2 linked regions of the Elephas maximus indicus genome follow. The protein of the gene in region 1 purifies or fractionates together with the protein of each later gene. This does not show direct contact. Links are inferred from orthologs where the notes say so. Each region holds a gene or a part of one and is shown on either strand. Other genes may lie near its edges.

The links.
Region 2: the proteins of CAPN2 (region 1) and SPATA5L1 purify together in Homo sapiens (co-immunoprecipitation; 3 studies listed by BioGRID and IntAct, with this or other methods). This does not show direct contact. The link is inferred for Elephas maximus indicus from reciprocal best matches to the Homo sapiens genes CAPN2 and AFG2B.

The regions. Positions count from the first base shown.
Region 1 is NC_064842.1:13,425,310-13,436,201, reverse strand, and holds the start of CAPN2 (calpain-2 catalytic subunit), read right to left. Parts: upstream 5,367-10,892; 5' UTR 5,318-5,366; coding exon 5,081-5,317; intron 1-5,080. UniProt on the Homo sapiens protein: Calcium-regulated non-lysosomal thiol-protease which catalyzes limited proteolysis of substrates involved in cytoskeletal remodeling and signal transduction. Proteolytically cleaves MYOC at 'Arg-226'.
Region 2 is NC_064828.1:10,924,388-10,935,516, reverse strand, and holds the start of SPATA5L1 (ribosome biogenesis protein SPATA5L1), read left to right. Parts: upstream 1-6,297; 5' UTR 6,298-6,375; coding exon 6,376-7,470; intron 7,471-8,564; coding exon 8,565-8,750; intron 8,751-11,129. UniProt on the Homo sapiens protein: ATP-dependent chaperone part of the 55LCC heterohexameric ATPase complex which is chromatin-associated and promotes replisome proteostasis to maintain replication fork progression and genome stability.

The sequences.
Region 1 (10,892 bases):
TTCTCCCATGGAGCTGCTGGTGGGTTTGTACCACCACCCTTTCAGTTAGCAGCTGAGGATCGAACCACCATACCACCAGGGCTCCTCTTTCATGTCTTACCACATCTCAAAGCTCACTCCCACCTCCTCCATGAAGCCCCCCTTCATAGTCTAGCCCTCACTCGCCCCCTTGACTCCGATTACCAGGGTAGTTGTAATTCTGCAGCTTAGTCCTTAATTGTGGGCTATCTTGTGTTCACGGGTCTTCTCTTGTCTTCCTAATACGTACACACGTGTTGAGGGCAGGGCGATGTTTCTGTTATTGTTGGATGCGGTTGAGGCAGCCCCTGACCCCATGCGCAACAGAACAAACGCTGCCTGGTCCTGGCCATCGCACGACCACTTGTGGATCGGGCCTTTGTGATCCACAGGGTTTCCGGTTGCTGATTTTTCAGAAGCAGATCACCAGGTCTTTCTTCCTAGTCTGTGTGGAAGCTCTCCCGAAACGCTGTTCAGCATTATAGCAACACGCAAGCCTCCACCAACAAATGTGTGGTGGCTGTACCTGAGGTGCACTGGCCAGGAATCGAACCCAGGTCTCCTGCGTGGAAGGTGAGAATCCTACCACTGAACCACCAATGCCCCCTGAATTCTTCCATAGGCTTAGAGATACTGGAAGCATTCATGTATCGCGTACCTGCTGTATACCGGACAGTGTGCTTGGTGCTTAATCTCACGCTACCCTCTCAGGAACTCAGAAGGGGCATTATCCCATTTCACAGATGAGGAAATAAGCTCATGGAGGGAAAACAACGTGTCCAAAGTTACACAGCGCATAAGAGACAGCACTGGGATTTGAACTTCCTCGTCTTAACACTAAAGCACCCAGGCTTTCCACTCCTGCACTGCCTCTAATTGATTGCTAACAAGTCTCCAGGGTGTTAAAACCTCAGTGGCAGTGGGCCCACAAGCAGCCCAGCGGAAGCCAGCCTGGAACGGTGCCAGCCTAGGCCCTCTCTGCAGGCCTCACTGGGTGTGCTTCCTGATTCTTAAGCGTTCCCCCCCAAAGCCACAGAGGAAGTCAGGCATAAATCTGGGCTCCTCTTGCCTAAGTGTGTACGAGCTGCTGTTACGTCTCATGTCTGCTCTGAGCGTCACAGATGGGTGCCACCACCCCACGTCCCTCAGCGAGCCCTCTGTCAAGCAGGCGAGACCTGGATGCAGCCCTGGTCCGCCCTGCCTTACCCTGCGGAAGCCCTTCCTGAGCCCCAGTCTGCAGCAGAGCTCGTTCCCGTCCTGCCTTTGCCCTGTCTCCCTGCTCTGAGAATGCGTCTCTGCTGAGGCCAACAAGGTCTGCCAGACCAAGCAAGGCCTGCCAGTCAAGCACTTACCTGGCTGGCGGAATAGATGGGCCATGGTGCTGGCAGCCTCTTTATTCTAACCATATTGATAATCCTCCGTGCACCAGGCACTCACCCCAGGAGCATTTTTCCACTATGTTTCAGAAACTTTCTCATGCCTCTAGCAACCTCTGCAGAGAAGTCCAAGCCCAGAGTGGCACGCAGAAGTACTTCAGAGAGTAGAATGCTGTGCGAGGCATGCAGGACACTGAATTAAATCTGAGATGAGCCAGTCAGAGACAAGGGGCTCTGAGGACTTGGGCTTCAGACAGCCTGGGTTTCAATCCTGGCTCTGCCGCTTGTTATTTGGGCTCTGTAAGCCTGGGCAAGTTACTTAACCTCTTTAAGCTTCAGTTTTCTCATCTGTAAAATGGGGATGATGATGATAAGCATACCCACCACACAGGATGTTTTGTGATTAAACTAGGTCACCGTGTAAGCCTGTCTTGGTTAAGCGCTCCACAGACGTTGCCTATTATTATCGTTGTTACTATTACTATAGGAAAAGTTGATGATGATAATCACTGACCTTGGAAGTGCAAGTCCAAGGCAGAGTTCGGTCAGCTGAATATAAGCAAGTCCTAAACCACTCAGAGGCTTGGTTCCCTCATGAGGAAAATACCTGCCTTGCTCCTCCACGTCCTGCCTGTCAGCTTGTCCCACTCTGGTGGCTGGGAGATATGCCACTGGCATTTCAAGCATCAACAGGGTCACCCATGGTGGACAGGTTTCAGTGCACCTTCCAGACTAAGAAAGACTAGGAAAAAAGGCCTGGTGATCCACTTCTGAAAATTAGCCAATGAAACCCCTATGGATCAGCTCTGGAAGATGAAGGTCCCCAAGTTGGGAAACACTCCAAATACACAATGGACTCAAGCACACCAACGATCACAAAGATGGCACAGGACCAGGTCATGTTTCGTTCTGTTGTACATGGGGTTGCCATGAGTTGGAGCCGACTAGATGGCAATGAACAAGGGGCCCTCGCTCCTACCTGTCTGGGTGCCAGGAGGCTCTGGTGTGCCACCCTTGGCCAGCCCAGTTCTTCTCCTCACTGTGACCCCTGAGCCAGTCCCTGGCCTCACCAGGACGTCAGCCACTTTCTGCTTCATCCCCCTTCCCTCCCTGCAGCCACTCTTCACCAGTGGTGTGAAACCCCTTGCCCCTGAGACACCAGTCTCTCTCCCAGCAAGAGCACGCCCTCCTCCACCCAAGGCTAACCGGCTCCCCTGCCCTCCCAGGACCCCATACTCTCGCATCCTCGGACCCTGTTTCACGACTACCTGCTCTCTGCCTTCACCTCCAATCCCTTCCTTCCTGGGGGCTCCACACAGAGCACGTTCAAGGCGCTCTCATCAAGCCCCAGGTTTCACTCTACCTGCCATTTTCTCTGTCTCTCTTCCTACAGGCATGCTTCCAAAAGCAATTGATCACATTCTCCATTTCCATCTCCTAACTCTGGACTAGGCTGACTCCTCAGTCCACTGCAATCTGCTTCTACCCCCGCCTTTCCGCTGACATAGCTCTGCTGAGGTCACCAGCAATTCATCAATGTCCAGATCTAGTGGAAACTTTTTGTTTTCCTTGCCTGGGCCTGGCATGTTTGAGAAGGTGGGACAGAGCTAAGTAGCTGTAAAGTCATGGGCTCTAGACACGCACAGGCTAGAAACAGTCTCAGCTCCACCATGTATACCTGTTTGAGTAGGTATTTAACCTTTCAAAGCCTCAACGTCTTCAACTGCCGAATGCCCTGCCCTACCCAGCAGCCCTGAAATGGTTCTAAATCTCTACTTCCCCATCCGGAAATCTCGCAGGAAACTCCACCTGTTGGGTCACCTGTCTGTCTCCCCTCACTAGGCTCCAGTCTTCAGAAGAAAACACTACGTGCACTGTGCCTGGTATGTAGGATGTGTTCAGTAAGCGCTTACTGACGAGGGAAAGAACAGTGAAGGGGAGCATGGATTCACTTTGTAAGCTGTAAAGTGCTGTCCAAATGCAAGGTGCAAACATTCTCTTGCCTGTGGATCACTTTCACAACAAAACTTCATTTGGGGTTCACAGCAATTCATCGCACAGATAGTCATTGTCTGCTTTGTTTGCTGATGTATCCTGAGCATTTAGGGCAGTGCCTGGCATAAAGTAAAAAACGAAACCAAACCCATTGCCATCGAGCCGATTCGGACTCATAGCAACCCTACAGGACAAAGTAGAACTGCTCCATAAAGTTTCCAAGGAGCACCTGGTGGATTCGAACTGCTAAGCTTTTGGTTAGCAGCCGTAGCACTTAACCACTATACCACCAGGGTTTTCTGACACACAGTAGGCACTCAATAAATATTGTTGAATGAATGAATAAATGAATACTATAAATGGACGCAACCGTTCTAGGGAGCCCTGGTGACGCAGTGGTTAAGTGTTCGGCTGCTAACCAAAAGGTTGGCAGTTGGAATCCACCAGGTGGTCCTTGGAAACCCTATGGGGCAGTTCTATTCTGTCCTGTAGAGTTTCTATGAGTCAGAATTGACTCAGTGGCAACAGATTTTAACTGTGCCAGACAATGGGGCTAGAATGCTCCTGCTTGTTCCAAACCCAAACCAAACCCACTGCCATCCAGTCTTACGACTCATAGCGACCCAACAGAACAGAGTAGAACAGCCCTATTGGGTTTCCAAGGCTGTATATCTTTAGGGGTGCAGACTGCCATATGTCTCCCGCGGAGTGGCTGGTGGGTTCAAATCACCAATTGTTTGGTTTGCAGCCGAGTGCTTAACCACTGTGCCACCAGGGCTCCTTTCCTGCTCATTACAGGAATCTAAAGCTTGAGTTTCTTGGGAAGCCTCATTCAGGTGTGGTGAGGGAGCTCTGACAGTCCCATAGAAGAGGACAGGAGCCTGCAAAATGGACCACTAAATGAGGAAGCAGAACTTGTCCCAAAGCCGGGCAGGCGAGGAGGACAGAGCCCCTGAGGGCGGAATGAGGGTGCCTGCAGGTTCCCTAGGTGAGGATTCTGGGGCAGTGGAGTGAAGACGATGGCAAACTCGCTCCCTGCGGCATCCCGCGTGTCCTTTATTAATCACCAGCGTAAATATTATGGGGAAGTTTCCCGGGCTCCCACTTGGAAAATAAACAAGAAGCCGACACATCTACCCACCGAGGCTGCAGGAGACAGCACAGAGTCACAAACCAAACCAGGCTCTGGCCTTTCCCTCTCCCTGACGCGGACAGAGCCGACTTGGAGGCTGACTTCTCCTAGTCAGATACTGCCTCCCACCCTCCTATTTTTGCAGACCCTGCTCCCAACTCCCCCAATAAAACTTTCCACCAGGCCCCCTCGTGCCACCCCAGTTTTTGCCAAGTCCAAGGGCGGCTCTCCCAGCGGGCCAGTTTTGGGGGTTTGAGGGCTGTGACCCGCCTCCCCCGGCCTGGGATTGCTGCTGGGTGTCAGGCGCGGCAGAGGGGACCGCAGGGTCCCGGAGGCCCAGCTCCCGCCGGGGAGCCTCCCGCGCGCCCCCCGCGCAGGGTAACGGGGCCGCGCAGCGCCGAGCCCACCCCCGGCGCGCTCCGCCCACGATGTGGCGCCGCCCGGGGCCTGGCGGGGCGCCCTCCGGCCCGACCCCCGGCGCCGCGCAGCCGGCCGACCCCCAGCACCCGGCCGGCCCCCAGGACCCCGCACCCGGCCGGCCCCCGGCCCCGCACCCTACCGTGGGCCTCTTCCACTCGATGCCCCGGGTTTTGCTGGAGTAGGGTCCCAGCTCCTTGAAGCCCAGCGAAGACGGGAGGGCCGGGAAGGAGGGGTCCTGGAAGAGCGCGCCGGCTTCCAGACACTCGTCCCGCAGCGCCGCGTAGTCCTGGTTCAGGTACTTGACGGCCCTCTCGTGCGAGCCCAGCCCCTCGGCCGCCTCCCGGTCCCTGGCCAGCCGCGCCGCGATGCCCGCCATGCTGCCGACCGAGGCTGGCTGGGAGGGGCGCGGCGGCGGGCGCACTGCGGCGGGGCTGCGGCGAGGGCGCAGGCCGCCAGGGGGCGCGGCGCGGGCGCAGGCCGCCAGGGGGCGCGGCGCGGGCTGGGTGTGGCCTGCTGGGCGGCGGCCCGGGAGCTTGCGGGCCCAGCGGCCTGGAGAGCGGCGTCCGGGGGGCGGGCTGGGGCCTGTGCTGCCACCTGCCGACGGCTGCCGGGATAGCGCGGCCGCAGGGGTGGAAAAGGCGGGGCTGCAGCCCGACTCCGAGGCCAAGTTCCCAGTGACTGGGTGAAACCCGAGGCTGGGGCAGTCGAGACTCTCCAGGAAACACCCCGTGAGTCAGCAGAAGATCAGGAAGTGGGGTCAAGAATACCAGGCTAAAAAAAAAAAAAAACCCTTCGCCGTTGAGTCGATTCCGATTCATGGCGACCAGACTGGCTGCCGTTAATTGGGCCCCTGCTTTGTACCAGATACCGTGCTAAGGGCTCTACAGGCGTTATCTCATTTAATCCTCCGGCAACTCTGTGAAGAAGGGGCTATTATCCCCACTTCACAGATGAGAAGACTGAGGAGGAGGCTGTCAAATGACATTACCTAATGTCCCACAACCAGCAACAGGCAGAACAGGGATTCCCAGACACCAGAAAACAAGACCACAAACTAATGCTGTTGCCATGGAGTTGATTCTGATTCATGGCGATCCCATGTGTTACCGAGTAGAGCTGCTCCATAGAGATTTCTTGGCTCTGACCTTTATCGAGGCAAATCACTAGGCTTTTCTTTGGTGGTGCTACTGGGTGGGTTTGAACCCCCAACTTTTAAGGTTAGCATCCAATCACAAACTGCTTGGGCCACCCAGGAACCTCCAAGACACTAAGGGCTGTGCTTATTACAATCACCACTGTTATTAGAGCCCTGATGGCACAGTGGTTAAAGCGACCGCTAACCAAAAGTTCAGCGGTTCAAAACCACCAGCAGCTCCCTGGGAGAAAGATGTGGCAGCCTGCTTCCATAGAGGTTTACGCCTTGGAAACCCTATGGAGTCACTCTGAGTTGGAATCGACTTGATAGCAGCAGGCACACTGTTATTGGTCAGGTACTTGATCACAGATAGGGTTGCCAGATTTGGCAAATATTCAGGATGCCCAGTTAAATTTGAACCATCTTATAACTGTTGGTGGGATTGTAAAATGGTACAACCACTATGAAAAATGGTATGGCATTTCCTCAAAAAGCTAGAAATAGAAATACCTTATAATCTAGCAATCCCACTTCTAGGTACATATCCTAGAGATACAAGAGCAGTGACGTGAATAGACACATGCATGCTGTCTTAGCTAGTTAGTGCTGCTATAACAGAAATACCACAAGTGAATGGCTTTAGCCAACAGAAATTTATTCTCTCACCGTCTAGGAGGCTAGAAGTCTGAATTCAGGGGTCCAGCTCCAGGGGAAGGCTTTCTCTCTGTCAGCTCTGGGGGAAGGTCCTTGTCATCAATCTTCCCCTGGGTCTAGGAGTTTCTCAGCACAGGACCCTGGGTTCAAAGGATGTGCTCCGCTCCTGTCTCTTCTTTCTTGGTGGTGTGAGGTTCCTCTCCTTTCTGCTCACTTCTCTTTTTTCTATCTCAAAAGAGATTGACTCAAGATACAACTTAATCCTGTAGATTATGTCCTGCCTTATTAACATAAGCCCTGAAAAAACCCGTTGTCATCAAGTGGATTACAACTTCTAGTAACCCTAGAACTGCCCCATAGGATTTCCAAGGGTTGACTGGTAGATTCTAACTGCCGGTCTTTTGGTTAGTGGCCAAGCTCTTAGCCACTGCCTCTAATTCTGCCTCATTAACGTTATAGCAGTTAGAATTTACAACACGTACAATAATTACATCAGATCACAAAATGGAGGAGAACCACACAATACTGGAAATCATGGCCTAACCAAATTGACACACATTTTGGGGGGATAAATTCAATCCATAACAACACCTATGTTCATTGGAGCATTATTCACAATAGCAAAAAGATGGCAACAACCTAAGTGCCCATTAACGGATGAATGGATAAACAAATTATGGTACATGCATACAATGGAATACTACACAACTATGAAGAATAATGAGGAGTCTGTGAGATATAACATGGATGAACCTGGAGACCATAATGCTGAGTGAAATAAGCCAATCACAAAAGGGCAAATATTGTATGGTCTTAACTTTTATAAAAAGACAAGGATATGTATGCACACAGAAAGCAGCGTTCTTTGATGGTTACCAGGGATGGGAACGGGAGGGAGAGGGAATCACTTTCTAGATAGTAGACACTTGTTTTTTTTGGTGATGGGAAAGGTAATACCCAATTTGGGTGACGTCTTCGTTGACCAAAGAGTCTTAGTTGACACTAAGAGGTACACAAGAATAAGGGTCAGTTTGGCTAAATGCTATAACATACACAATTTTGCAGTAGTGAAAACAACCAAAAAATGTGTGTTTTACCTAGGTAGATATGTAGGCGTATACAGTATGTTTATAGGAAGTGATATGTGAATACAGGCACAGTTGTGTCTGTAGCCATGTGTACATACATGTTTGTGTGCACTGCACATGTATTCGTATATATAATAAAGCACATAGGGAGCACAGTTACAGATACTTACTAACCAAAAAGCAAAAACCGTTGCTGTCTAGTCAATTCCAATACTCCCTGGACATATTCAGACACCTCACGAGATTGGTTGACTGGGTTAAAAGGCTTAGGACCATAGTATCCTGGGACAACTTGGTCAATTGACATAACATAGTTCATAAATTTTATGTTGTACATTCTAGTTTGGCGAATCACATCTGGAGTCTTAAAAGCTTGCCAGTGGCCATCTAAGATACAACTGTTGGTCTCTACTCGTCTGGAGCAAAAGATAATGAAGGAAACCAAAGATTCAAGATACTAGTCCACAGGTCTAATAGCCCACATGAACCAAGGCCTTGTCTATGACGAGACCGGAAGAACTAAATGGTGCCCAGCTACCACTGCCAACTGTTCCGACCAGGGACACAGTAGAAGGTCCCAAATAGAATGGGAGAAGATTGTAGAACAAAACTCAAATTCCAAAAAAAAAAAAAGTCCAGATTACTGGATCGATAGAGACTAGAGGAACCCTGAGACTATTGCCCTAAGATACACTTTGAACTCAGAACTGAAGCCCCTCCCAGAGGTCATCTTTCAGCTTAATAATAGATTGGCACCCGTGAGTACCGTGCTTTTTTGAATAATTACCTATACGAGACCAAATGGTCAACATTTACCCTAAAACAAAGCTGAGAAAGTAAGGAAGGGGCAGGGAAGCTAGATTCATGGAAACAGAACAAACAGAATGGAAATAATGAGAATGCTGGCACATTATGAAAAATGTCACCAGTGTCATGGAACAATTGGTACAAAAATTGTCAAATGGGAACCTAATTTGCTGTGTAAACTTTCAACTAAAGCACAGTAAAATATTATTAAAAAAAAAAATTAACCAAGATGTATTTGAAGAAAATGGAGGCATTTTGCTTGGATAAGAGGAGAACGATGGGGAACTCAACACTAACGGGAGCCCTGGTGGCGCAGTGGTGAAGAGCTCAGCGGCTAACCAAAAGGTTGACAGTTTGAATCTACCAGCTATTCCTTGGAAACTCTATGGAGCAGTTCTATTCTATCCTACAGGGTCGCTATGAGTCAGAATCAACTCAAAGGCAATGGATTTGCTTTTTTTTTGGTCAACACTAGCTAGGAGCCTTCATGGCTCAGTGGTTAAGAGCTCAGCTACTAACCAAAAGGCCAGTGGTTCAAACCCACCAGTCGCTCTGTGGGAGAAAGATGTGACAGTCTGCTTCCGCAAAGATTGCAGCCTTGGAAACCCTATGGGGCATTTTCTACTCTGTCCTATAAAAAAAAAAAAGGTCACTATGAATTGGAATCGACTGAATGGCAAAGGTTTTCGACACTAGCTTCACTAATCCTTACTGTCATGGAGAAGAAGGAGTGTGTTCATTGTGTGTTGCTGCAGAGGAAGAGCTGGGACTAGGCAGATTTTAATTTGTGATACAGAGTCCAACACCACTTTGAATACACTGCATGTGGCACAAATGGTTAAGTGCTCAGCTACTAACTGAAAGGTTGGAGGTTTGAGTCTACCCAGAGGCAACTCAGACGAAAGGCCTGGCAATCTATTTCCAAAAGGTCACCCGATGGAGTGCAATGAAATACCTGGGGTTGTCATGAGGCAACAGCTTTTTAAGATTTTTTATTCAAGCAGTGGCTGGTCTGCTCAGGGGTACCCCAGCATGGGCGATCATCAGAATCACTCGGGGGTGGGGGGCTTGTTAAAAATACAAAACCCGGATCTGACAGCACAGATGCTGAGTCAGGAAGTCAGGAAGTCTGTGGTCTTCATGGCTGTGGACCAGTCAAGCTGGGGACTGCTGCAGAGGGGCCGGCAGAGCTGTAGCCGGGAGACCCGCTGAGGTCCTTTCTTTGCCAAAGATTCCATGGTCTGAGGGTTTGCTGGCCGGTGGCAAGGTGGTATACGTGCTTTTCCAGCATTACCAGGGCGCCAGGCTTCCTTTAGCTTTAAAGTCAGCCTTGGCCTTGGGGGCCACCACTTACTTTACACGGGGTTACTATGTTTTGAAGGAGCTATTTCTCTGCCCCTCAAAATCTGTGGGGGACTTCCTCTTGCTCCCCACTTTTTACATTTCCTGGATAGGAGGAACCTCAGATTGTGTGACTTTGGCTTTGACACCACAGTTTAAAAAGTTCTTGAGGAACGGAGCCTCGTGAACGACGTTCTTCGCTAAGTGAAGTCTCCAGGAATCCCATTCCTATGCAAGCAGCCTGGATTTGGAGGTTTCCCCTCTTGATTTATCAGTATTTACACTCACACGCACCCTGCCCATCTGTTGTGGTCCTCCACCCCAGTTTGCACGTCTGGGTATGCACCTGGCAGACAGGTCCCGCTACAGCCCTGACTCGGCTGTCGCACTCTTGGATGAGATGAGTGATGGAGCTTTCATTTCTAGTTTGTGGGCATCTGGCGCAAGGGTGTTTATGAAACTATAACAGCGGGGAACAGAGGAAAGACACAGCCCTTTCCTTGAAGCTGTTATTCGTTTCACTGTTTGGTTTCCACTGGGCCCACCCTCATTTCTTCCGGGCTCTGGGGTCTGGAGAGAAAGCATGTCCAGTACCCAGTGTGGCAGAGCATCCGGCATTCACTTTTCCTCCTGCCCATCTCCTCACGGACAGCTTGTCCCTGGAGGAAGTACATCCCCCGGGCTAGGGGTGTGGTTCTCCTCCTGAGTCCTCTGAGCTGCAAAGGAGCAGGGCAGACCAGACCTATCCCCCTAGTCCGATCAGAGGCATGGTGCAGCCCTGGGGCAGAGAAGCCTCCTGGCTCACCCTGAGCTTCCTCTTTGCCCTGGCAATGCCCTCTGGGTACATGGGCAGCCCCCGGCTGTGACTTCACCAGCTTTCTGGGTGCCCTGTGCCCACAGAACTCCACTCACAAAGGGCCTCCAGC
Region 2 (11,129 bases), on another chromosome or scaffold:
GGATCCTGGCTGAAAGCAGAGAATACCAGAAAGGTGTTTACCTGTGTTTTATTGACTACGCAAAGGCCTTCGACTGTGTGGATCATAACAAATCACAGATAGCATTGCAAAGAATGGGAATTCCAGAACACTTAATTGTGGCATCTGTACATAGATAAAGACACAGTTGTTTGAACATAACAAGGGGATACTGCATGGTTTCAAGTCAGGAAAGGCGTGTGTCAGGGTTATATCCTTTCACCATATCTATTTAATCTATATGCCTAACAAATAATCTGAAAAGCTGGACTATATGAAGAAAAATAGGACATCAGGCTTGGAGGAAGACTCATTAACAACCTGCACTACGCAGATAACACAACCTTGCTTGCTGAAAGTGAAGAGGACTTGAAGCACTTGCTGATGAAGATCAAAGACCACAGCCTTCAGTATGGATTACACCTCAACGTAAAGAAAACAAAAATTCTCACAACTGGACCAATGAGCAACATCATGATAAACGGTGATAAGACTGAAGTTGTCAAGGATTTCATTTTACGTGGATCCACAATCAATGCCCGTGGAAGCAGCAGTCAAGAAATGAAATGACACAATGCATTGGGCAAATTACTGCAAAAGACTTCTTTAAAGTGTTAAAAAGGAAAGATCACCATGAAGAAAAAGGTGCACCTGACTCAAGCCATGGTGTTTTCAATTGCCTCATACGCATAGGAAATTGGACAGTGAATAAGGAAGACCGAAAAAGAATTGATGCCTTTGAATTATGATGTTGGGGAAGAATACTTAATATATCATGGACTGCCAAAAGAATGAACAAATCTGTCTTAGAAAAAATATAAGCAGAATGGTCCTTAGAAACAAGGATGGTAAGACTTGGTCTCACATACTTTGGACATGTTATCAGGAGGGACCAGTCCCTGGAGAAGGACACCAGGCTTGGTAAAGTAGAGGGTCACTGAGAAAGAGGAAGATCCTCGAAGAGACTGACACAGTGGCTGCAACAATGGGCTCAAGCATAAGATGACTCTGAGAATAGTGTAGGGCCAGGCAGTGTTTTGTTCTGTTGTACACAGCGTGGCTATGAGTCAGAGCTAACTTGATGGCACCTGTCTTAGTCATCTAGTGCTGCTACAACAGAAATACCATAAGTGGACGGCTTTAACAAAGAGAAACTTATTTTCTCATGGTCTAGTAGAAGTTTGAACTCAGGGCGCCACTCCAGGGGAAGGCTTTCTTTCTCTGTCAGCTCTGGAGGTCCTTGTAATGCATAGATCTTCCCTTGGTCTGGGAGCATCTCAGAATAGGAACCTCAGGTCCAAAGGCTCTGCTCCCGGCACTGCTTTCTTGGTGGTATGAGGTCCCCACTTTCTGCTTGCTTCCCTTTCATCCCTTGTAAGATAAAAGGTGGTGCAAGCCACACCCCAGGGAAACTCCCTTTACATTGATCAGGGATGTGACCTTAGTAAGGGTGTTACAATCCCACCCTAATCCTCTCTAACATAAAATTACATCACAAAATGGAGGACAACCACACAATATTGGGAATCATGGCCCAGCCAAATCACTACGCACATCTTAACATCTTAGGGGGACATAATTCAATCCATGACATCACCTAACAACAACATATGTGTAATAAATACTTGTTAAATAAATGCCTATCTTATTTTATTAGCTGAACAGTTTGAACTCACATCATAGAGGATAAGTCCCTTGGAGGCTTAACTTCCAAAAAACGATGAAACAAACAATTATTCATGAAAATCTGCAAGAACCGAGTTTCAGAATGGTGTTATGTGAACTACAGCCTACAGGTCATTTGTAGTCCAGCAAAGATATCTGATGGCCCTAATCACCCTCCCTGACTCCGTATCTTCTAGAGAATAATTCTAGCCTGGGTACATGAGAAAGCCTAAAGATGGAAATGTTTAAAAAACAATTTTAACAATGTCCTATTTTGGGGAGTTTTCATTACACATTTTAAGAAAATCTGGCATATTAAGTATCTGTGAAATGGAGTCACTTGATACATCTTCATGAACATGTTGAGTATTTGTAAACCATGCTTTTTCAAGTGTGGTTAAATGAGTCTCTATACTTACCTGTTAGAAATCATCATCATTGCTAATATTCAAATATATTAGGGTTGAAAATAACATGAGCCTGGAAACACAGGAAGGATGGCCATTGATCTACGGATGGCTCATGCTACTGGCTTAACTGAACCTTTTCTTTACGGTTTTCATCATTATGGTGTATCTCATATCTTGAAATATAATATTTAGTATATATTATTGATGCTGAAGACACCAAAATATTGTATAATAGTTATTCTAAAACAAGTAGAGGTTCCAATTCTTTTGAATTCCATATTGCTAAGAATTTTTATAGTTGATACAAGGCAGATTGTAATCCTGAATGTAGCAACCTAAATTAAGAAAAAACTATTTGTTAAATATATCACTTCAGGAGAATCTCACAAAAGTAGGGCTATCGGAAGCAGCTCAAAGCTGGAATGGTTTCTAGGCTATCACAAAATAAACTCAGTTCATTTGCATTTTGAACCACTACTAAATTTTGGACTTGGGGAGCCTTATTTTGATATTTAATGTGGCAACAAAATTTTAACTAGGAAACTGAGTTCTATATGGCCTATGTATGTAGAAATTATGTTAAAATAATTAAGGTACTACATAGAGACAACATGACTGCTTCATACATCCGGTTATTAATGCTGGGAAAATCTAGTGGAAGCCTCGTGTGGAACACTTCAAACCCCTAACAGTGCAGTAGTCTTCAGGTTTTTCGGTCCTGGACTCCCTCTAGTGTTCAACCTTTTGGTGCTTTGATTGGTACTCTTCAGTTCATAGAATTACCCAATTTTGGGTCATACTAGAAACAAAACACATAAAGCACAAAAGGGAGCAGACTACGTCATTGAATGGTATGTTAAATGAGGAGGTTAAAATGGTTGAAATAGTAGTGTTGCAAATAGTCTGATTTAAAGGGACAAAGTGGATTCTACTGGCTGACTGGAAAGGCCAGTCATAGTAATAGTTCTGCCACGAGTAAGTAGAGAAGGATAAAGGCCCAGGAACAGGATTCCTGGTTGCTTTTGTTTGTATCGTAAGGGGAAGACTGGACCTTTCAGGGAGAGTATGAAGTGACTATTTCCTGGACTCATGGGTTTTACGAGGTCAGAGAATTCTAGGTTGACTTTGTGTGGTAGGTTGAATCATGTCATCAAAAAAGATGTATTTAGATTCACCTGGAACCTCAGAACGTGGCCTTATTTGGAAGCAGGGTCTTTGCAGATGTACCTAGTTTATATGAGGTTGCACTGGATTAGTGTGGCCCTTAAGTCTAATGACTGGTTGTCATGGATTGAATTGTATCCCCCCAAAATATCTGCCAACTTGGCTAGGTCATGATTCCCTTGTATGACTGTATGATTGTCTACCATTTTACCATCTGATGTGATTTCCCTATGTTGTAAATCCTATCACTATGCTGTAATAAAATGGATTAGTGGCAGTTATACTAATGAGATCTACAAGATTAGATGGTGTCTTAAAGCAATCTCTTGAGACACAAAAAAGAGAAATGACCAGAGAGACAGGGGGACCTTATACCACCAAGAAAGCGGTGCTGGGAGCAGAGCATGTCCTTTGGGCCTGACATTCCTGTGCTGAGATGCTCCCAGACCAAGGGAGGACCAATGACAAGGACCTTCCTCCAGAGCCGACAAAGAGAAAAAGCCTTCTCCTGGGGCCAGCGCCCTGAATTTGGACTTGTAACCTGCTAGACTGTGAGAGAATAAATTTCTTTGTTAAGGCTGCCCATTGTGGTATTTATGTTACAGCAGCACTAGATGACTAAGACACTGCTGTCCTATAAGCAGGCCATGAGAGGATACACAGGAAAGAAGTGATGATAGAGACAGATATTGGAGTGGTGCAGCTACAGCCACGGAAAGCCAAGGATTTCTGGCAGCCACCAGGAACTAGGAGAGAGGCGTGGAACAGATTCTTCCCTAGAAGAAAGCATGGCCCTGACACCTTGATTTTGGACTTCTAGCCTCCAGAATTGTGAGAGAATAAATCTATGTTGATTTAAGCCACCTAGTTTGAAGCTAATTTTGATGACAGCTCTAGGAAATTAATACACCTTGCATAAAGGCAACCTCTCAGACAAACCCAAAGCAACATGTAGTTTCTTCCATATCCTATCCATAAAATTTCAGCCTCCACCTTACTTGCTTGAAACCAATGCAGAAAACTCTAAGCTTGATTTAATTTAATCTGCTTCCCTATGTTTCATACCAGTTGGCTTTGGTTTTGCCTCTTGGCTCTACCTTCCACATGACCATACTAAAATGAGGAGGAAGCCTCTTAAATCTGCGCCATTAAACTTTTACCTCCAGGTCAGTTCTGCACTGTAGCTACACAGCAATCTACCAGCTCTTTTCCATGACAGACCTTTACATATTTAAGACAATTAGCATGTTCTTATTAAGTCTTCTTTTTTCTAGATCTTCAAAGCTTCTTGGAACCTGGAATAAAAGTGATCTTCATAAGTGGAAGTACAGGTATCATGACAAAATAATTTTTTTTATTAACTTTTATTGAGCTTCAAGTGAACGTTTACAAATCAAGTCAGACTGTCACATATAAGTTTATATACATCTTACTCCGTACTCCCACTTGCTCTCCCCCTAATGAGTCAGCCCTTCCAGTCTCTCCTTTCGTGACAATTTTGCCCGCTTCCAACTCTCTCTATCCTCCCATCCCCTCTCCAGACAGGAGATGCCAACACATCTCAAGTGACCACTTGCTATAATTAGCTCACTCTTCATCAGCATCTCTCACCTACCCACTGTCCAGTCCCTTTCATGTCTGATGAGTTCATGACAAAATAATTTGATGGGCATTTCATTCACAACTTCAGGAGTCAGTAAAAATGATGTTTATGTATTTCTTCAGAAAATGCAAAACTGTTATTGAAAAGTCTTAAAACCCAAGAGAACAGAAGCCAGTGTGATTAAGAGAAAGAATAAGAACTAATGGGTGACCTACCCATTCAGGACCTCCTGCTGCTGCTGCTACTTTCTGATTCAAGTTGTGCCAGCTTGGGAGCTGGAAAGGTACAGTGGAGACCAGGTAAGTCACCATGGAATCCGGAAGTCTGTCAGTATCTGCTCTGAAGTTCCGACAGAATGAGACCAGGAACTGCCATTGATCTTAAGGCCCTCGATCAAACGGTACTTTCCATTGAGAGGACACTGCTATGCTGTCTGCAAACCACTACTTGCATAGATAGAAGAAAAACAAGTCACAGTGACTTACTCTATCTGCAACTTCAATTTTTGTCGCCTCATAGTTTTCATGGAGATGTGAGTTGCAGTAAAGACGGGGAAAATGTGAATAAGATAAAAACAAAGCTTATTTTCTTGACTTTGAGTATCTGCATTTCTTTTTGATGAGCAAAGTTAAAGAGAATAGGAAATGTAGTCCAGCTGATAACGGGGAAAGAGTAATTCCCTGTGGAGATGAAAGGCGGAAAAATAGCAGGAGGCAGTCTTGATACTGTAGGCAAGTGTCGCCTCTAAAGCAGGGCTTGGTGCGGCTGTGGCCCCAGGAGACAGCAGTTGTCGCTCGAACCGAGACGCTGCCATTAAAAAATTAGGTATCCTTAAGTTGTTGTCAAAGCACATTCAAAGGACTGAATCGGGGGTCAGAAAAAAATGTCGTAGTACACCACAAAGGCAACAGAGGACCTGTTTTTCCTTCCCCTTTCCAAGGTATTTTAAACGTCACGCTGTACTTCTCTCCTGCAAGGCTGGTGCTCTTCTCTATTAAGGCGGTGCACGGACCTTCCCTACAGGTTGGGGCCCCGGCTACTGAAGGCGCCACCGCTGTTGTCTCCGCTGTCCCAGCCACCTGGCCCGAGCACCCGGCCGGTAACACCGCACACGCGAGGGCACTCAGAGTTCTTCTCGACACAGCCACGTCCCCAGGCCGGCGCGCAGCTCCAGCCGGAGTGCGGCGCCGGTGACGCCCTGCGACGCCTGGGCGCCTGCTGGACGACCGTGCCGTTCGGCCGCGCTGCCTGCCAGCACCTGCACCGAAGGCCACCTCCGGGAGGCTCTGGGCTGGGCGGCTGGGTCTCGTCCAGGCGGACAGCGCCACAGCAGACCGGGGCCCGGCGGGAGCTGGACCCCGCTCGCTCTCCAGCGACCTCAGCGCCTCGCAAGCCCTAGCCTGCCCTGACGCATGCGCGTAGTCCGCTTCCGGCCGAGGCGCGCGGTGCTCAGGCCGTTCGGGTCCGGGCGGAACGCCGGCCCCGCTTCTCTCGACCTCGGGTGCTCCGTGCGCCATGGCTCGGGACTCGGGCCCCTTCCCTGCGGAGCCGCTCTTACAGCTGCTACCCCTAGACTCCAGAGACCGGGGCACCCAGCGCTGCCGCCTGGGCCCGGCCGCGCTCCGCGCCTTGGGCGCGCGCTTGGGCTCGGCCGTGAAGATCTCGCTGCCCGACGGCGGCTCGTGCCTCTGCACCGCCTGGCCGCGGCGGGACGGAGCCGACGGCTTTGTGCAGCTGGACCCGCAGTGCGCGAGCCCCGGGGCGGCGGCGGGGGCGCCGGGCTCCAGCGCGAGCCTCGGCCTGAGCCGCCTGCGCCTGGTGCCCTGCCCGCCCCTGCGGCGCCTCGCCGTGTGGCCGGTGTTGCGGGAGCGAGCGGGCGCGCCCGGGGACCCGAGTCCCGCCGCCGTGCTGGAGGCGGCGCAGGAGCTGCTGCGGAACCGGCCGGTGTCTCGGGGCCACGTGGTTGCCGCTCCGCCGGGTGCCCCCGGCCCGCTGGCCGCCCTGCACGTAGTCGGCGGGACGCCGAGTCCCGATGCGGCCGGGCTGGTCACCGCTCGCACCCGCATCGTCCTCAGCGGGACGCCCCCGTCGGAAGCCGAGCCGCAGCCCGAGGCGCCCCTGGGCGGCCTGTCGGAGGCGGCCGATTCGCTGCGGGAGCTCCTCTGCCTGCCGCTCCGCTACCCCCGCGCCCTGGCCGCGCTGGGACTCGCCGTGCCCCGCGGGGTGCTGCTGGCGGGCCCCCCTGGAGTGGGCAAGACCCAGCTGGTGCGCGCCGTGGCCCGGCAGGCGGGCGCCGCGCTGCTGGCCGTGAGCGCCCCGGCGCTGCAGGGCGCGCGGCCCGGGGAGACCGAGGAGAACGTGCGGCGGGTCTTCCAGCGCGCCCAGGAGCTGGCCAGGCGCGGGCCCAGCCTCCTCTTCCTGGACGAGGTGGACGCCCTGTGCCCCCGGCGGGGCGGCCCGCACCGCGCCCCCGAGAGCCGCGTGGTGGCCCAGGTGTTGACGCTGCTGGACGGCGCCAGCGGGGACCGCCAGGTGCTGGTCGTGGGAGCCACCAATCGGCCGGACGCGCTAGACCCGGCGCTGCGGAGACCCGGGAGATTCGACAGAGAGGTGAGCGGGCGTGGCCGGTTGGCCTGTAGCCCCTGGGACCGTGGTTGGCTGCCCCTAGGCATTGCCACTGAGGTTTGGAAGTTGGTGAGGGCGGAGTGCAGAGAACGCGTGCTCTGACCTAATAGTACCTGGGAGCCGGGATCAGTTTTTCCCCAAATCTCCAATTGTCTCCTAGGGTTTACTTTCCCGTACATGTCCTGAAGACGAGTACGCCCTATAATAAGTAGAGTTAGTTCTTCAGGGAACTAGGTCGGCCACAGGCATGTTGAACTCGTATGGAGTTGGAATGGAAGTTTAAAGTAGAAGGATAGCCTCAAGAAATAAGTGTGTGGAAATAAAAGGCGGAGAGCAGTGAAGTTAAAGCAGGCATTAGCTCTCCCTTGTGAGAATGCCAGCATCCTGTCCCGAAACTGAAAAAAAAAAAAAAAAAAAAAAAACCCACAATTGCTTCCTGAGTTGCCAGGGAGGGTAAATATCAAAGCAGCCCCCCCCCCTTTTTTTTTTTAATGAGCGTTGGTCTTAAATTGATTCTTGATTTCTATTAAATAGTTTGAAACTTAGTGGTTAATTGAAATGATGTTCGGGCTTTGTGGTAGGGTTCTAAACAAAGGATAATTGCATACTTTTAGCTTAATCCCTCAAGGACTTGAGTGACTTTCTTGCACTATCTGGTACTTGTCTGCTGAATCAGCTCCCTGTGAGCAGGGATCTAGACTGATTCACTGTTCTATCCCTCTCTGCCTCTGGCCAGCTTTTTGGTTAGCAGCTGTAGCTCTTGACTACTACTACACCACCAGGGTTTCCAAGAAGTGGTAGGTTCTCGAAAATAAATAAAAACTTCAGTGCACTATACAATTTTTGTTGTTCTGCTCCCTGGCCAGTATTCATTAAAAAAAAAAAAAATTCATTAGTCCCCTGGAAAATTAGGGTGTAGATCCCTAACTTTCTGTGTGTTCTGAGATGTGCATCAGAGTGCACTGTACTAGTTCCATAAGGGTTCATTAATTATTGCACAGATTTGTGAGGATAAAAATACGTACATTGTCAAACTATATAAGCTTTAATTTCTCCTTATTTTTTTGCTTTACAAATAGGTTGTCATTGGCACTCCCACCCTTAGACAAAGAAGGGCAATTCTGCAAGTGCTAACCTCGAAGATGCCGGTCTCCAGTCTCGTCAACTTGGGCCTCCTTGCAGAAATGACAGTTGGCTGTGTTGGCGCAGACTTGACGGCTCTCTGCAGGGAGGCGGCCCTGCATGCTATGCTTCGTGGTGACAAGGTAAGAGGGCTGGCTTCTCATCGTCCGCCCATGTTGATCATCGTCAGTGGGAATTGACTTGTCGGCAACTGGTTTGGTTTTTTGGTTTACCCGAGTTAATGTTTTCATTAACGTATCAAATTAATTTTGGGATTAAAAAGTGATAAATAACATTCTTTTACAACTATCGATAGCTTTCATGGCTGTTTCTTATATATATTTTTACATCTCAAATCCGTATAAATAATATATGAACGAAGGTGGGAAGAAGGGGCTGAGCCCTCCAAGCCTACCGGGTGGCTATTTACCCACTCTCTTAGTAACATCCAGAAACCCTGGTGGCATAGTGGTTAAGTGCTACGGCTGCTAACCAGAAGGTCGGCAGTTCTTCTGTGTCCTATAGGGTCACTATGAGTCGGAATCGACTCGATGGCAATGGATTGTTTGTTTGTTTTTGGCTTAGTAACATCCTAATGTTGAAACCACCGGTCCCCAGAGCAGCCAGGAAAAAGGCGGTCGCCTCAAAAGAATCAATTCTTTTTTTTTTTTTAATTTCAAAAGAATTTCAGACTTAGAGAAAAGTTGCAAAAATAGGACAAAGAATTTCTGTACATTCTTCATCTGGATTCTCCAGATGTTAACATTTTGCTGCATTTGTCTTGTTATTCTCTCTGTGTATATGTATATATTTCTGAAACATGCACGAGTATGCTACAGCCATGATGCCGCTTTCCCCTTGAAAATGTAAGTTTTTATTTCCAAAAAACTAGGACCTTCTGCTACACAACCACAGTACAACGATAAAAATGAGAACCCAGCCTAAGACAGGGACCTTGTGCTGCACCACAGTACTCAACCCACCCACTGCTGTCGAGTCGATTCCGACTCATAGCGACCCTATAGGACAGAGTAGAACTGCCCCATAGAGTTTCCAAGGAGTGCCTGGCAGATTCGAACTGCCGACCTCTCAGTTAACAGCCATAGCACTTAACCACTACGCCACCAGGGTTTCCGCACAACCACAGTGCAATGATAAAAATGAGAACCCAGCCTAAGACAGGGACCTTCTGCTGTACAACCACAGTGCAATGATAAAAATGAGGGGATCAACACTGATACACTTTACTTCATCTACGTAGACCTTACCGAGATTTCACCGTTTGTCCCACTAACTTCCTTTATAGCAAAACTTTAAAAGAGAAAAAGATAATTGTTTCTCTTGTTCAGGATTACATATTGCATTTAATTGTCATGATTTCTTAGTCTTTAGTCTGGAACCATTTTTCAGCCTTTTCTTTCATGACCTTAACTTTGTAAGAGTACAGGTCAGTTATTACGTAGAATATTCTTCAGTTTGGGTTTGACTGATGTTTCCTGGTGATTTGATTCAGGGTTTGCATTTTTTGCAAGATTGTCACAGAAGGGTTCCTGTGTTCTTCTCACTGCATCTCTCAGGCAGCAGATGGTATCTGTTTGTCCTTTCCTGGTGAAATTAACTTCAGTCACTTGGATAAGGTGATGTCTGTAAGATTTCTCTGTTGTCAAGATACTGTTTTTCTCTTTGTTATTTATAAGTATCTTGTGGGGGGAAAAAAACCCAAAACTTTTCTAACTGTGGGAAAGATCATGTATCTGGAATTTTATTTAAAATTCTTTGACATTCGTGTCTCTAATTCATTTGTACCTTCATTAAAAATATTTAGGATATTAGCTTTTTTTTAATATATCCCAAAAATATTAGGATATTTATAGTATTCAACTATTTTAAATAGTACTTTGGAGCTCTGGTGGTGCAGTGGTTAAGAGCTATGGTGAGCTATGCCTCCTAACCATAAAGGTGGGCAGTTCGAATCCACCAGCGGCTCCATGGAAACTCTGTGAGGCAGTTCTACTCTGTCCTTTAAAGTTGCTATGAGTCAGAATCAATTTGACTTGATGGCAAGAGGAAAAATTCCAACTACTATTATTGTTTTCAACTATTATAAATTCTGGAGTCCTGGTGGCACAGTGGTTAAGAGCTTGATTGCTAACCAAAGGTCCGCAGTTTGAATTCACCAGGTGCTCCTTGGAAACCCTATGGGGCTGTTCTACTTTTGTCTGTAGGGTTGCTATGAGTCCCAGTGGACTTCATGGCAATGGGTTTGGTTTATTATAAATTCCAATCTATTGACGGGGAAATCAGGTCATTTCATATGTAACTAGTAATCCTAAATCCTTAAACCCCTTTGGGAAAAAAAATAATAATTTCAGCAGGCTGAGGAATCTGGGGCAAAGTTTTTTATCTCAATTGTAATATTAAAATTGCCCTCTGATCTTGTAATTTAAAAAACCCAATCTTGACTTTATTTAAACTAGAAAAGGATAATTTATCATCCTAATTTTTAAAAACCAAAACCAAAA